3 linked regions of the Cricetulus griseus genome follow. The protein of the gene in region 1 purifies or fractionates together with the protein of each later gene. This does not show direct contact. Links are inferred from orthologs where the notes say so. Each region holds a gene or a part of one and is shown in the gene's direction. Other genes may lie near its edges.

Evidence for each region.
Region 2: the proteins of Ski (region 1) and Hdac3 purify together in Homo sapiens (affinity purification with western blotting; 4 studies listed by BioGRID and IntAct, with this or other methods). This does not show direct contact. The link is inferred for Cricetulus griseus from reciprocal best matches to the Homo sapiens genes SKI and HDAC3.
Region 3: the proteins of Ski (region 1) and Sin3a purify together in Homo sapiens (affinity purification with western blotting; 3 studies listed by BioGRID and IntAct, with this or other methods). This does not show direct contact. The link is inferred for Cricetulus griseus from reciprocal best matches to the Homo sapiens genes SKI and SIN3A.

The regions. Positions count from the first base shown.
Region 1 is NC_048595.1:1,091,773-1,097,445, forward strand, and holds the start of Ski (ski oncogene), read left to right. Parts: upstream 1-1,809; 5' UTR 1,810-2,007; coding exon 2,008-2,976; intron 2,977-5,673. UniProt on the Homo sapiens protein: May play a role in terminal differentiation of skeletal muscle cells but not in the determination of cells to the myogenic lineage. Functions as a repressor of TGF-beta signaling.
Region 2 is NC_048595.1:199,695,524-199,700,608, forward strand, and holds part of Hdac3 (histone deacetylase 3), read left to right. Parts: intron 1-355; coding exon 356-437; intron 438-572; coding exon 573-629; intron 630-739; coding exon 740-795; intron 796-1,170; coding exon 1,171-1,304; intron 1,305-2,684; coding exon 2,685-2,765; intron 2,766-3,143; coding exon 3,144-3,217; intron 3,218-3,364; coding exon 3,365-3,429; intron 3,430-5,085. UniProt on the Homo sapiens protein: Histone deacetylase that catalyzes the deacetylation of lysine residues on the N-terminal part of the core histones (H2A, H2B, H3 and H4), and some other non-histone substrates.
Region 3 is NC_048597.1:168,654,625-168,659,203, forward strand, and holds the end of Sin3a (paired amphipathic helix protein Sin3a), read left to right. Parts: intron 1-521; coding exon 522-729; intron 730-2,442; coding exon 2,443-2,673; 3' UTR 2,674-3,465; downstream 3,466-4,579. UniProt on the Homo sapiens protein: Acts as a transcriptional repressor. Corepressor for REST. Interacts with MXI1 to repress MYC responsive genes and antagonize MYC oncogenic activities. Also interacts with MXD1-MAX heterodimers to repress transcription by tethering SIN3A to DNA.

The DNA.
Region 1 (5,673 bases):
GGCAATAGCTGCTAGTCACAGCTTCTTCAATGCAGACTTGTGTCCTAAAGTCCCCGTCTCACAGAACAGGGTCCACTAGACAGGAGCTACTACTGGTGGTTGTCACAGTTCATGGGGTGGTGGATTTTGCCTGCCGGTGACCCAGGGACTTTCCACAACTATGCCTCCTCTGCATCTTGGCATCCCTAGGTCATGGATGCTGTGAGCTTCTAGGTTCTGCAATTCTGGCTGTGTGGCGCTTGGGTGTGGGAGCTCTGTGTATTAGGTGGCATCAGTACTACACATGGAAACCCAGATGTGCTTTGGGCAGTCCTTCTGCACCGGAGGCCTTTGAGAAGAATCACCGGGTGATTCTTTGAGAGGTTCCGGTTGTATGGGCACCTGGATTTTTTTTTTTTTTCTCTCTCTCGTATCTTCTCATCATAAGGACAGCCTGTCCTGAGTATTTCGTGGTGTCCTTATGCAGGGACCTGGAATGCATGCTGTGGTGTCCTTATCATAGGGGGCCAGGCACTTCGGTCGTGTGGAGACGCTAGGGTGCTTTGAGACGCTCTTGTATCCAGACCCCAATGTTTTGTGGCATCCTTGTCATGAGGGGGCACCTGGGGTCCTTTTTATGAGTGCAAACTCTGGGGTGTCGCGTGGCGTCCCGGTCCTGTAGAGAACGACGCCCAGCAGTATGGGGAGTGGAGGCTATTTCCCAGTTATCTCCGTAGAATGGGGACCCCGGGACCTAAGGAGGCAGCGGCGCAGATCTACTGCGGACCGCCACTCAGCTGGTCTGCGGTTGTGGCAGGGGCCTTGTGGGTTTCGGGGCCCCAAGACCGTGGTGTCAGCAGGACCGGAGACTTCCCAGCCGCGCAGGAAGCGGCCTCGGCCGGAAGGGGGGCCCCAGGCGCCTCGCTGCAGCCGCCTCCAGCGGCCTTCACAAGGCGGGGCCGAGCGGGACCGAGTAGGGCCGAGTGGGGCCGAGCGGGGCCGAGCGGGGCCGAGCGGGGCCGAGCTCCGGCCCGGGGGACCCGAGCGGAGTCGAACTGTGGGCGGACGGAGCCGAGCTTGGCCGAGTACGGGCCGGGCGTAGCCGAGCGCCACCGAGCCCGGGAGGGGGAGCGCGCGTTCTTGGAAGAGCCGGCCCGAAGCTGGTCACATTCCTGGCCCTCACTCCGGCTGAGGCGGACGCACAGCAACAAACAACGCGGGAGGCGGGGCCGGCGCGGGCGGGGCGGGGGTACGGGGCGGGGCGCGCGGCGGCGTGAGCTCAGCTCCCGGCGCTCAGTCCGAGCCGGAGCGAGCCGCCCGAAAGATGTGCGCCGAGCGCGCCGAGCCCCGCGCCGCCGCCGCGCTCTGAGCCGCGGGCTAGAGCGCCTCCGCCGCCCCGGGGCCGGCGCGCGCGGGCGCGGGCGGCCGGGAGCCGGGCGGCCGCGCGGGCGGGCAGGCGGCGGGGGCCAGCGGCGGGCGCGACGCGGCCGGCCAGCACCGCGGGACGAGCCCGAGGGCGCCGCGCGGTGGGAGGAGCGGGGCAGCGCGGCCGCGCCGCGCGAGGACGGCCCGGCGGGCCCCGCGCCCGCGCCCCCGCTCTCCCCGGCCCCTCGGCTCGGCCGCCGCGGCGATTCGCGCCTCGCGGCCGGCACCTGCCGCGCGCGCCCCGCGAGCGCCCGGGCCGCGAGCGTTGGCGTTGGCGTTGGCGGCGCGCGCCGGGGCATGCCGCGCCTAGAGCCGCGGGGGGCGCGCGGGGGGCCGGGGCGGCGGCGGCGGCGGCGCGGCGCGGGGCGCGTGATGTGGCGCCGGGCCCGGGTGGCGGCGGGCTCCAGCGGCGGGACCCCTTCGCCCGCCCGCCTTCGCCTTCGCGCGCCCCGGGCGAGGCCGAGGCCGGGGCCGTGATCGGCCGTGAGCCGGCGACGGGGGGCGTCGGGGCCGCGGTCGCGGTCGGCGGCGGGGTGCGCGGGGCGGCGGCGAGGCCGTGGGGGCCCGGGCGCACGGGAGCGGCCCGGGGAGCCCGATCGCACCATGGAAGCGGCGGCGGCCGGCCGGGGCGGCTTCCAGCCGCACCCGGGGTTGCAGAAGACGTTGGAGCAGTTCCACCTGAGCTCCATGAGCTCGCTGGGCGGCCCGGCCGCTTTCTCGGCGCGCTGGGCGCAGGAGGCCTACAAGAAGGAGAGCGCCAAGGAGGCGGGCGCGGCCACGGTGCCGGCGCCGGTGCCCACTGCCGCGGAGCCGCCGCCCGTGCTGCACCTGCCTGCCATCCAGCCGCCGCCGCCCGTACTGCCCGGGCCCTTCTTCATGCCGTCGGATCGCTCCACCGAGCGCTGTGAGACCGTGCTGGAAGGGGAGACCATCTCTTGTTTCGTAGTGGGAGGCGAGAAGCGTCTGTGCTTGCCGCAGATCCTCAACTCGGTGCTGCGCGACTTCTCACTGCAGCAGATCAACTCGGTGTGCGATGAGCTGCACATCTACTGCTCGCGCTGCACCGCCGACCAGCTGGAGATCCTCAAAGTCATGGGCATCCTGCCCTTCTCCGCGCCCTCGTGCGGGCTCATCACCAAGACGGACGCCGAGCGCCTGTGTAACGCGCTGCTCTACGGCGGCGCCTACCCGCCGCCTTGCAAGAAGGAGCTGGCGGCCAGCCTGGCGCTGGGCCTGGAGCTCAGCGAGCGCAGCGTCCGCGTGTACCACGAGTGCTTCGGCAAGTGCAAGGGGCTGCTGGTGCCCGAGCTGTACAGCAGTCCTAGCGCCGCCTGCATCCAGTGCCTCGACTGCCGCCTCATGTACCCGCCGCACAAGTTCGTGGTACACTCGCACAAGGCCCTGGAGAACCGGACCTGCCACTGGGGCTTCGACTCAGCCAACTGGCGGGCCTACATCCTGCTGAGCCAGGACTACACAGGCAAGGAGGAGCAGGCCCGCCTTGGCCGCTGCCTGGACGACGTGAAGGAGAAGTTCGACTATGCCAACAAGTACAAGCGGAGGGTGCCCCGGGTAAGTGTCTCCAGGTCTTGGGGGTTGGCAAGCCATTTGTCCAAGGAGGGGAGGCGGTGGTCCTCTTGGGCTGGGCACTCTGGCTTCTAAATGTTGGGGCACCTGGTTCGACCTTATTTGGCTTTGGGTTGTTTTGATTTCAGGAAATTAGGGGCCTAGTTAGTCTCCTGTGGGTAAGGCCATAAGGCCGCCTTGGTGCTGTCTGAGCACTGTAGAGTGAATGGAAAAAAGCCCTCTCAGGACACATAGCCCTTGACCACATAGGCTACGCTCTGAAGGTCTGAGAAAGGCTGCCTCAAGCTCTGGGAGCTTGGACTTCCTGAAGAGAAAGAACCCAGGCTATGACTTTATGGCCCAGATCTCCATGGGATCTTGACAGATGAGAATGAAGTTTGCCCCCTTTTTTTCTGATGACAGGGATGTCTTCTTGTGGTTTCCAGCTGATACGCCTTGTATGTTTACTGGCTCTCTTGTTTTGTGTTTAAATCATGGGGCAAAGACACTAAAATGAAGCTAGCTAGTTGTCCTGGCAGAGACTTGGCACTTGCAGCCCCTAGAGTCTCCTGTTGGTGCACCTTGAGGACCACTTGGCCTGGTCAATGGTAGCAGAGTCTTGCTTCTCTGACTCAGAGTTGCTGATAGTATGCAGTTTCTTTAGACTCACCCATTTCCTTCTGTTGCTCTTGCACTTGGTGTGGAGGCCTGCCTGCCTAGGCTGTGCCGTGTGTGCGTCACGGGCTTTGTGGGATCTTCTTGGCATGACCCTGGCCACTTAGTACCAAAACCTTTCACTGGGGTCCAGAGGAAGTTTCTTTGCATATGCATCCTAAGTATCTGTAACTTTTAAATATCCCTGCTTATTAAATTGCACACACAGAATGCTGCATTGGCTCAGCTATTCTTGGGAGACCTAATTAATTCAGCTATTGCATCAAACTTTTTTTTTTTTTTCTAAATCTGTGAATAGATGCTGCAGCCCGGTTTTCTCTGGGCGCCCCTCCAGCAGAGTGTCAGAATCGTGGGGGGAAGGGGCTCTGAAGAAGGACCGTTGCCTAATTCTTTGGGGGCTGCAGAGAGTGTGCACATACTGTGTGTCCTATGGCACTTTTGCCCCAGCTAGGGCAGTGCATGATGGCAGGCGGTTGCAGGCGGGTCTTTTCAAGTGGACTTGGCAGTAGGCAGGCTGATGTGGGTCCTACCAGTGGAGGCCTATCTGGGCTGTCTGCACCCTTGTCAGCTAATGTAGCCTGAGGTAGTCATTTGAATATAGCGACTGGTGGACTTGCTGGGGCTACTGTAGAGATGTGGGACTAGTGAGGATGAGCCACTGGGAAGCATTCACACCTCTTATCTTGGGAGCAGGCAAGGAGTCTTGTCTGAGTTGGGTGTGTCTGTGTTTGTGTTTGTCTGCTTTGGGTCATGTGTGTTTGTGGTCTTTCTATCCAGGTTTAGGGGACTGCCATGGTCCCTTTGTCCCGGCCACTATTGAATGGAGTAGACTTCTGCCTTCTCTGTTTACAAGCTTGGTGATTCTGGTGTGGGGTCTTTGGGCTCAGAGGAGGTGGCTCAGATGCTCGTGCCAGCACTATGGGGTTAGAAGACAGGATAGTGCACTGAGCCATGGTCATGTGCCTGGGTCGTTTCCGCCGTGGTTTGTAGCTGCCCTTCCCTTGATAGCCACCCTGGCAATGGTCTGACGCCTCATCTGCTGAGTGAAGAGACATTTCTCGAGTGATTTGTGTCTCCAGCACCACTGAAGCAGTGGTGGCATCAGCTTGGGTTCCTATACTTTGGCCAGCTCCTGAGTGCTTACATGACGAGGGACTAGTGGGGCTGTTTCCCGTTTGTGGGGTGCTCCCAGCCCCTGGGTGATCCCAGTGCAGCCATCAGTGTTGCTGCTTCATTGACTGTGAGCTTGTAATTAGGGTTTGGTCTGGACTGTGCTCTTTAGTCCCTATTGGACGTTGTGAGCTTATCTGCATGAACTGTGGGTAACACCCAGCAGGAAGGGGCTGTCAGTCTGGGTAGTTATGGACCCATGGCTGCCCAAACTTAGCTTGTCCTGAGGGGAGCGGCCTGAATGCTAGGATTCCCTCACTCCCTTCAAAGCTTATTTTAATAGTTTTGGTCAACTGAGGAGGAGGGCACAAGGAACAAAGATGTGCTGAACCATTTTGTAGGGCAGTGTAGCCTTTGACAGGCCTTTGCACTCTGTTGAACTAAGGGTGAGCTGAGTGCTTTGTGGGAAGGGGTGGGTTTTCAAGCCCATGGTGGGAAGGTGTAGAGGTCAGTGGTTTTCCTGAGTTCTCGATGCACGGGTGACATTTGGCTGCTGTGCTCTGTGGCAGTCTGACTGAGGTGAGGTAGCTTCTGTCTGGTTGAGGTAGGGTCCGCTTGAATCAGGTGGAATTGGCCTGGTTGAGGTGGAATTGTGGTTTCTGTGGTCAGATGAGTGTGTGGGAGTTTCAGCTTTGAGCCTGAAAACCTTGGTGCAGGCCACTGTACCCCAGACCTTGGTGTGTCAGCATGCTGTGACAGTACGAAGGTCTGCAGTGCCCTCCTAATGTCATGGGGAATGGGAAAAGTCAATTCTCTCCTGGAACTGCCAGGCCCAGCTTCCCAGCATAAAGCTCTGAAGAAAACGCAGGCTGTATGGATGCTGCGCAGTGAACCTGTCATTCCGAGGGACACCCCCCC
Region 2 (5,085 bases), about 200 Mb from region 1:
CTCAATAGCAACAACCCCTTATCAAACAGGGTTTACTATAGGCTCTTTTGTACAGATAAGGGTATCAAGATACAGATGGTTAAACATCTTGTCTGCCCAAGAACCTAGAAGCAGTGTGCTTTGCTTGCCAGGTAGGATACAAACTCCCTGCAGTTGAACATTTTTATGATTCCTGTATCATGTTTTGTATGAGGCTTTGCACAAGAGTTGGCCCAAAATCTTTGTTGAACAAATCTGAAGATGGCTCAGATGTGGAGGACGAGAAGGAAGCTTTTAGAGGGCGGTAATTGGAGTTTGAGTGGGGAAGGAGGTGGACAATAGCAAGAGGGGTGTAACCCCACTCTCTTTCCTGCAGCCCAGTGTTTCCCGGGCTCTTTGAGTTCTGCTCCCGTTACACAGGCGCATCTCTTCAAGGAGCAACACAGCTGAACAACAAGGTAATGTAGCTCCTAGTCAGTAGTCCTGGTCCTGTTTCCTGTGGTTCTCTAGATTCAGGACCATATATAACCTTGACATGGAATCTGGCTTCAGTGGTAGGCAGGAAGAAGATTGAATGGGTATTTGTCTTTCAGATCTGTGATATTGCCATCAACTGGGCTGGTGGTCTACACCATGCCAAGAAGTTTGAGGTAAGTCTGCAGTGGGGAAGACTGGCTACCATAGGTTAGGTGGTCAGAATGACTGTTGGGGTAGCTGGGTGGAAGAATTGTTCCTCTGCTTATAAAACTATCTCCCACAGGCCTCTGGTTTCTGCTATGTTAATGACATTGTAATTGGTATCCTGGAGCTGCTCAAGTAAGTACTCCAGGAGGAAAAGGGGAGACTTTGGAGACTGGGATGAAGTCCCTCAGGCCCTGGCCCCAGCCCTGCCCTCCTTCTCCACCGGCTTCTCCAAGTCTGTGATGCTTTTCTCAGATGGCTTCTAGGCCCCACAGGCTAGGCCCCACAGTTTGTCCCCTGCTGCCCGCTCACATTCCAGCTTCCTCTGCATAACCCTTTTCTTTATCTCTGGCCTTTAGGGTGAAGGCCTGGGTTGCCTGGAGGAAACTTGGTGGGATGAGTCTTCAAATGACTCTGCCAGAAGTAGACTCTAAACAATTCCAGAGCTTGTGTTGGGGAGAAGATGGGGAATTCACTCCTTCCCATACCATGGCTTTGTTCTCACACCAGGTACCACCCTCGGGTGCTCTACATTGATATCGACATCCACCATGGTGATGGGGTCCAGGAAGCCTTCTACCTCACTGACCGGGTCATGACTGTGTCATTCCACAAATATGGAAATTACTTCTTTCCTGGAACTGGTAGGGCATAGGATCACTGTGCTTTTTGTACCCCCCTTAGCTTTTTGTGTGTGCTTTGAGACAGGGTCTTGCTCTATAGCCCAGGCTAGCCTTCAACTCAGAATCCTCTATAATCAGCATCCTGAATGATGGGATTACAGGTATGTGCCACTGTACTTGGCTGTCCTTTTTCTTTTTGCCATGACTGACTCCTTAGCCTTCTGTTCTTAAGTATTATGTGCTCTCCTCAGAGAAGCCTTTCTGATCACTCCATTAAGTTAAATAAACAGGTACCAAGCCCTGTCTCTTTTTCTCAAGAGTACTTACTCACTGCTAGTTACATTTATTGTGTTTTTTTGTTCATTCTTTGTCTTAGTCACTATTCTATGTGTGACAAGAAACCACAGCCAAGGCAACTCTTATGAAAGAAAGTATTTAAATGGGGGCTGGCTTACAGTTTCAGAGGTTTAGTCCATTGTCATCATAATGGCTAGCATGGCAGCCTGCAGGCAGGCTGTGCCGCAGTAGTGAAGAGCTACATCCTGACCATAGGCAGAGACACTCTGGACTTGGCTTGGACTTTTGGAATCTCAGAGCCCACCCACCTCCTCCCCTGTGATGTCTCAAACAAGGCTACTTCCTAATCCTTCTCCAGCAGTGCCACTCACTGATGACTAAGCATTCAAATTGCCTACGAGGGTCATTCTTATTCAAACCACTACATTCTCCTTCTTTATCATGTATCCCAAAAGTATGGGCTTGGTGGAATTTCATTAGGTCTATTCATTGCTATATCCCCTATGCCTTCTACACATCTTAGCACACAGTACTTCCTCAGAAATATTTGTTGAAATGAATGTGATGGCATATGCCTGTTTTCCCAGTAGGCAGGCTCAGGTGGGACGGTTGTTTTAAGTTTGAGGCCAGTCTTGGATATATAGCTAGATTCTGTCTCAAAGGGGAAAAAAAAAGGAAAGAAAGAAGGGAGGAAGGAAGGAAGGTGGGGGGTGGGATGACTGGAGAGATGACTCAGCTGTTATGAGCATTTCCTACCCTTGCAGAGGAATCAGGTTCTGTTCCCAGCACCCACATGGCAGCTCACTGTCTGTAACTCCCAATTCCAGGAGATCTGATGCCCTCTTCTGACCTCCATGGACACCAGGCATGAACCAGGCAGGAAGACACATACCTGTAATCCCAGCATTCAGCAGGCTGAGGCAGGGGGGAATGAGAGTTCAAAGCTAGCCTGAGCAACATAGGTTCCTAGCCAGCCTGGGTTATATAGGTGTTACCCTGTATTGAATGAATGCAAGTTGCTGGAGCCTTAGAGAGCATGTGGTAGAGGGCACAGAAGGAACAGTTGTGTTACTGTTTATGACTGCTGGACCCACTTATCTATAGGTGACATGTATGAAGTTGGAGCAGAGAGTGGCCGCTACTATTGTCTCAATGTGCCCTTACGGGATGGCATCGATGACCAGAGTAAGTACTGATGACTTCCCCATGCTCACTTTCCCCCTTTTTCACTTTCATTAACCTCTTCTACCTGGTATTGTCTATTGTTGGGCCAGGTGTCCTTAAGGATGAATGTCCTTCAGAGGGACCATGAACCCCTGGAATTTGTATGCAATATATTATGCGCATCTGTGTTTTTATTTATTTATTAGTTTTTCTGGGAAGAAGTTTGTTAGTGTTCATCATAGCAGGTTGTGATACCTTCCAGAAGTTCAGAACCAATGGTTGGTTCTGTAGTTTTCCCCTTTCCTGGGCTACATGCTCTCTCAAACCCCTTTTTCCTTTTGTTCCCTGTCTCCCCATCTCCTTGGGGTGCCAGGTTGCCCATCTTTGGCCCTCTCCCAGGTTACAAGCACCTCTTCCAGCCAGTCATCAGCCAGGTGGTGGACTTCTACCAACCTACATGCATCGTGCTTCAGGTAACAGTGTTAGCACCTCCCTGGAGGGCTTACCTGGGCTTGAGGAAAGAGATCAGGGAAGAATAAGTTCCCCAAATTGGTGAGGGAGGGACAGTGGTTTTCTGATCTTCCATGTTACCGCAGCATCTGGGTTTTTCTTTTTTTCAGTGTGGAGCTGATTCCCTAGGCTGTGATCGATTAGGCTGTTTTAATCTCAGCATACGAGGACATGGGTGAGAACTGCCTTCCTTCTTGTTCTGTCAGACCCCCGAAAACTCAAGTATCCGGGGTCCCAGGCCAGGTTCGCGGTCACCCCAATCACCAGGCGGATTCGAGAGCTTGCTGCAAACTGCACGAGGCTTTATTGTAATTTAACGAACTAACCCCATGTTAGCTCGGGTCTTTCACCCACCCGCCATGGCGGACGGCTAGAAAAGACGGCTCCTTGGGTCTCCCAAAAGATCTTATAGGGCAGCGTAAGGGGAGTGTCTAGGGGTACGCACAGGCTTACGCACAGGCTCACGATTGGTGTGCTTCCAGGCTTGGAGGGCTTGCCCTGTGTTGGTCAATTATGGCCCATAGGCCCTCCCAGGGTAGTTGCTATGCTCTCTACGTCATTGTCGTGCGCTTGTCCGTAAAGCACACCCAGGGTCGTAAAGCATAGCGCCACCAGCTAACTTCTGATTGGTTCCTTGTCACAAGACAGGCATCTGACCTCTAATTGACTAAGATTCCTTGTCACGAGACAGGCATCTGACCTCTAAGTGACCAAGGCAGGTTTATGGCAAGCACGTGTTCGGCTGTTATGGCTGCCAAAAGGGAAGCCGGTTCCTTCAGTTCTTGTTGTTTTTACTTAAAGTTGTATTTCATCATCATCACTATTAATTATTATGCGTGTATGTGTACATCCTTGACCATACATAAATACACATACAAACAAAACATAACAAAAGTCCAATGAAGGAAAAATAACAAGACAAGGTAATAACAGGGAATCTACTTTTTGATTATACTTTTTTTTTTTTTTTTAAGATCTCGATGTGTGGCATGGGCTGACTTTGAACTTGTGATCTTTCTGTCTTAGCCTCCTAAATTACAAGCTCAGGTCACCACACCTGGCTTGGGAATTTACTATAGGCAGCATGCTTTGGGAAGGGTTTTCTGAAAGGGTCAAATGAGAGCTGAGACCTGGAGACTAAGAGGATGAGCCATAAAAGAAAAACAGAGAATCCTGCTCCAAGCAGTGAGAAGGGCTAGTGGAAAGCCCTAAGATGAAAAGGAGCTGCTGTCTTGATGAGGAAATAAAAGCAGTGAGGTCAGAACACAGGGAAGTGCTGAAAGCTGGCCAGATTGAGTTTGTGCAGAACTATTAGACCCTATCATTCCATGGGTGGTGGAAAACTGTGGAAGGAGTTTAAACAGGGAAGTGACATGGACCGGTGAGTTTGAAGGTGATTGATTGTTCTGACTGCTAAATGGAAAAAAGTTTTGGGGTGAGAATTGGGGCACAGGACGGTAGTGAGAAGCCAGTTAGGAAGCCATTAACATTGTTTAGACAGGGGATGTGGTGACGGAGAGAAGTAGGGGGTTTGAAAATGTATGCTGAAGACTAGAATGGACAGTCTGGCTGAGACACTGATGAGAGTAGTTGAATAGCAGGTAAGGTGCCAGGCAGAGTAGTAAGCAAGACTGAGCATGTGCTTTACTTTAAAATATTTATTGAGACGCAAAATATTAAAGCATACTAATGTTTTTAAAGAACTTTTTTTACTTGTTTATTCATTCGTGTGTGTGTGTGTGTGTGTGTGTGTGTGTGTGTGTGTGTGTGTGTGTGTGCACGAGCACCAGAAGTGTGCATTGGATCTCCTGGAACTAGAGTTACAGGTGAT
Region 3 (4,579 bases), on another chromosome or scaffold:
CATAAGATTTCATAAACAATTTGATGACTTTATTGTGTCCATTTTTTATAAAAGTAAAACCAGCTTGTTTGGTGTCCATCCATGGTCAGAAAAGAATACAAAGGTTTCTAAGTGTGGTTTGTAGTATGTAGATACTAATAGGACATCTCTGGGAAAGATAAAAAGTAGACCTTCAAGTAACTTTCTGTTACCTAGTTTAGATGAGGAACTCCAGTTTAGAGGCAATGGGGTAATAAATTGGGATACTTTGCTCTGTAGCTGTTAAAGAGAACAAGACAGATTTGTGTACTGCACTGGAAATAGGTTAAGTGAAAAATGGAGAATAACACATAGTATGATCAAGGCTGAGGCTTCAAGTAATTATATGTATAAAATCAGTGAAAGCATTGCACATTTTTATATATGTGTATCTAAAATCATAGTACGTATTCTTGAGGCACATAAGGAAAGAACATTTGGTAAGAGTCATGGGGATCTGTAGACAGATGGTCTCTCAACCTGAAGGGCTTTCTGCTTTGTAGAAATTTGCGGCGTATCCGAAAGTGTCAGCGTGGTCGAGAGCAACAGGAGAAAGAAGGGAAAGAAGGAAACAGCAAGAAGCCCATGGAAAATGTAGAGAGCCTGGATAAGCTGGAGTGTAGGTTCAAACTGAACTCCTATAAAATGGTATATGTGATCAAGTCGGAGGACTACATGTACCGGAGAACGGCTTTACTCAGAGCTCATCAGGTGAGAACTGGTGGTTGGGATGTCTCTGCATTTCCCAAGTCCTACTGCACTGGCCTGGTATATTTCCCTTTTTAAAAAACCCGTTCCTGGAACAAACAGTTGCTATGTAAGCAGTTGTATTTGCTAAGGATCTCGTAACAGAGTATTATGACTTAAAGGATAAAATTGCTGGGGATATGTAGTTCGTGGTAGAACACTTTCCAGTACACCCAAGGTGGTCTTGGCACTGTCCCCAAATACCTGCTTCCCACACATACAACATCTTGAGGTTCTGAGAAAGACTTAAAACCCCAAGACTTATATGTCAAAATGTGTTGGAATCTATTGAGGCCCCTAAGGGGGAGAATAGCTGTTGCTGCTGTGCTCTTTTAGTATTCCTGGGTGACTCATGGCTTTTCTCTTGTCTGTCTGAATAAATGTCATTTTGAAGGATGGATGTATGGGGTGAAGGCTTCAGAGTATGGGCTATAGTTTAACCTCCAAGAGCTGGTAAACACCTGGTGTTACTTTCTGAAAAAGCTGCTCTGAGTGTTTACCTTTCAGACAGTTTCTCATCTTTTGTTTGTGAGAACTCTGTTTTCAAGGGCTGTCTCACTTGTACTTGCAGCAGGCGCTAGGATACTGCCCCAAACTTGGGCAAATGAGGAAATAAAAGGGTCAAGGAAACCGACATGTGGGATTTCCTTGGTGGCTTCTCTAATACAGGACACCAGAGACCTAAATAACAAGAGTTACATGAGAAGTGTTTTCTATGCAGCAGAAATGTTAGATGACAGACTGGGGAGAAGGAAAGGTATTGGCATATATTGAAAATAAAAACAGTGATTCGGGGCAAGAGCTATAGAGAAAGACATTGTGCAGGTGTGAGGATAGGTGAGGTCACACTAGTCTCAATGGGCCAAGCTTTGAATTTTGTTAGATTTACTGGGGCCCCTTTGTTTACATTTATTTGTTTTGTGTTAATGTTATGTCCTCGTGCTTTTTTGGTTTTTCGAGACAGGGTTTCTCTGTGTAGCTTTGGAGCGTATCCTGGCACTCGCTCTGGAGACCAGGCTGGCCTCGAACTCAGAAAGATCCGCCTGCCTCTGCTTCCCGAGTGCTAAGATTAAAGGCGTGTGCCACCAACGCCCGGCTTGTCCTCCTGCTTTTGTTGAGTCTTCATGGCACAGTGAGAGTGTTGTGGTCAGAGGATAAGCTGTAGGAGTCAGTTCTCTCCATACTGGTTCAGGTGGAATACAGGTCATTATCCTTAGTGTCAGGTACCTTTACCTACTGAGCTATTTTGCCAACCTGCCTTATTTTAATTTTTCTTTTAAAGATAGCACTCTACAGGGCTGAAGAGGTGGCTCAGTGGTTAAGAACACTAGCTGTGTTCTTTCATAGGACCCAGGTTCAATTCTCAGCATCCACATGGCAGCTCACAACTGTCTGTAACTCCAGTTCCAGGGGATCCAGTGCTCTCTTCTGGCTCCACAAATACCAGGCACATGTAGGCAGAATACCCACTGTACTCATAAAGTAAGCCAGGCATGGTGGCATATTTATTTAGTCTCAGCACTCAGGAGGCATAGGCAGGTAGACCTCTTGAGTTTGAGGCCAGCCAGACCTGCATAGTGAGACTCTTTTTAAAATGAATGAATGAATATTGACTTTTGTGTTTGAAGGGTTTGTTTGCCTATTTTATCTTTTCTCTCTCTTTTACTTTGATTTTAGTCCCATGAGCGTGTAAGCAAGCGTCTGCATCAGCGATTCCAGGCCTGGGTAGATAAATGGACCAAGGAGCATGTGCCTCGTGAAATGGCAGCAGAGACCAGCAAGTGGCTCATGGGTGAGGGGCTAGAGGGCCTGGTGCCCTGCACCACCACCTGTGACACAGAGACTCTGCACTTTGTAAGCATTAACAAGTATCGTGTCAAATACGGCACAGTATTCAAAGCCCCTTAACTGCAGAGCCAGCACAGGTAGCTCAGAGGTGTGTGTCTGTGTGTGTGTGTGTGTGTGTGTGTGTGTGTGTGTGTGTGTGTGTGTGTATGTGTGTGTGTAGGCATGTGTACTACACACCGAAGAACAGAGGAAGATGCCTTTCAAGCCACCAGTGCAACCTGGCACCAAGCAGGACCGTGGACAGACACCTTAGAAAGCTGGAACTGGCACTTTTCCCAAGGGTACTAGCCTGCCCAACAGGGAATGAAGTCCATGCAAGCACAGAGAACCGGCAGCTTGCTTGCACACACCAGCAGAGCTCAAGCTAGAACTTCTGTGACCTGACCTTAGACATGCAACCAGATGCTATCACCCTTTGGATGGATGGAGGTGCATTTATAAAACAGATGGACTGTAACTAATGGTCACTACTCCTCTCTCTACCCTGAAGAGGCTGCAGGGAGACTGCATTTGATGACCACATCTCCACTTGAGCACATCTACGATCCCCTGTTAGAGTTTGTCTGAGACCTGCTGTTTGGCTTTGGGATTGATACCTTGTGGATTTGGTTTCTGAGCCGTTGCAGCCCACCTTCCTCCGTCTTCTGGTTCTCAGCCTCACCAAATTCCAGCCAGTCCTCTTTTGGCCCCCGTGGACTGTTTTGTACCTGCTTCTTACTGGTCTGCCCTAGTGCCATCCACCAGCTTCACTCACACACAGACACACACATTTTAACTTGGATTTTCTTTTTTGTAAATAATGTATATACTGTCAATTTTTTATTAAAGGAAATATGCTTTGATGTGCTAGCATAAGTGCTCTAGCTTCTTGTGTACCATAGGACTATGTGGCTTCAGATTTAGTACTTATAAAGAGATGTACAAGACATTTATTACACTTTTTACCAAAGGGAGATACCATTGTAGTACTTTTATGTAAAACTTGTCTCCTCCCCCCCCCTTTTCTTTTCCTTTCCTTTTTTTATGTAAATAAAGCTTGGTTCTTAAGGAAATCCGTAACCCAAGTCCCTTGTCCTCCACCAGAGAGCTATTGTTAAATAGGGACTGGCTTTAGTTTCTTTTCCAGGTTACAAATAGGATTTGGCTGTAAATAAATAGGTATTTGCACTTGTCAAATCAACATATATCAGAAGATGGTAAAAGTGCTTGCCACACAAGCCTGACAACCTGAATGATCTCTGGACCCCACAGTGGAAAGGGAAAGGTGACTCCCAAAGTGGTCCTTTGGCCTCCACAAGTGACCTCTGATACTTGAGTACCTTCATTCTAGTGCACTCAGGCACAGGCACTCCTAGGGGTTTTGTTTTTCCCTCACATTTCTAATTTTCCTTACTGGGAATGAGGCAACAACTCAAGATACCAAGCCAGAATAAATGTTGTGTCTAGTTGGAAGGGAATGGATTGGATATACTGCTTAGCAATAGTAAAAGAAAATGCAGTAATACAGGCCTTTAATCTCAGCACTCAGAGGCAAACAGAGTTCTGTGAGTCCAGGGCTACAGAGAGACCCTGTCTCAAAAAATGAAATAAAAAAAAAAATACACTTATTTTTGTGTATATACTTGCACGTGTGTGCATATGCAGAACAACTTGGAGTCAGTTCTAGGAATGGATCTCAGGTTGTTGGGCTTGGCTGCAAATATTTATTTATCTGTGCTGCTTGTCGCCTACACCAGTCTGTGTAGTCTCCACTTTTTAAGTTACATAAATTGACACATGAGTCTTAGGGATCTTCTAATATGGTTGACCTGGACCTGCTGAACAACAACGAACTAACCCTCATAGTTATATTTTCTGGTTAAAAATCCCTGGTACCTGGGCCAATGAGATAGCTCAGCTGGTTAAGGTTCTTGCCATTAAGCCTAAAGACCTAAGATGGAGTCCTGGACCCCAGGACCCCACACGG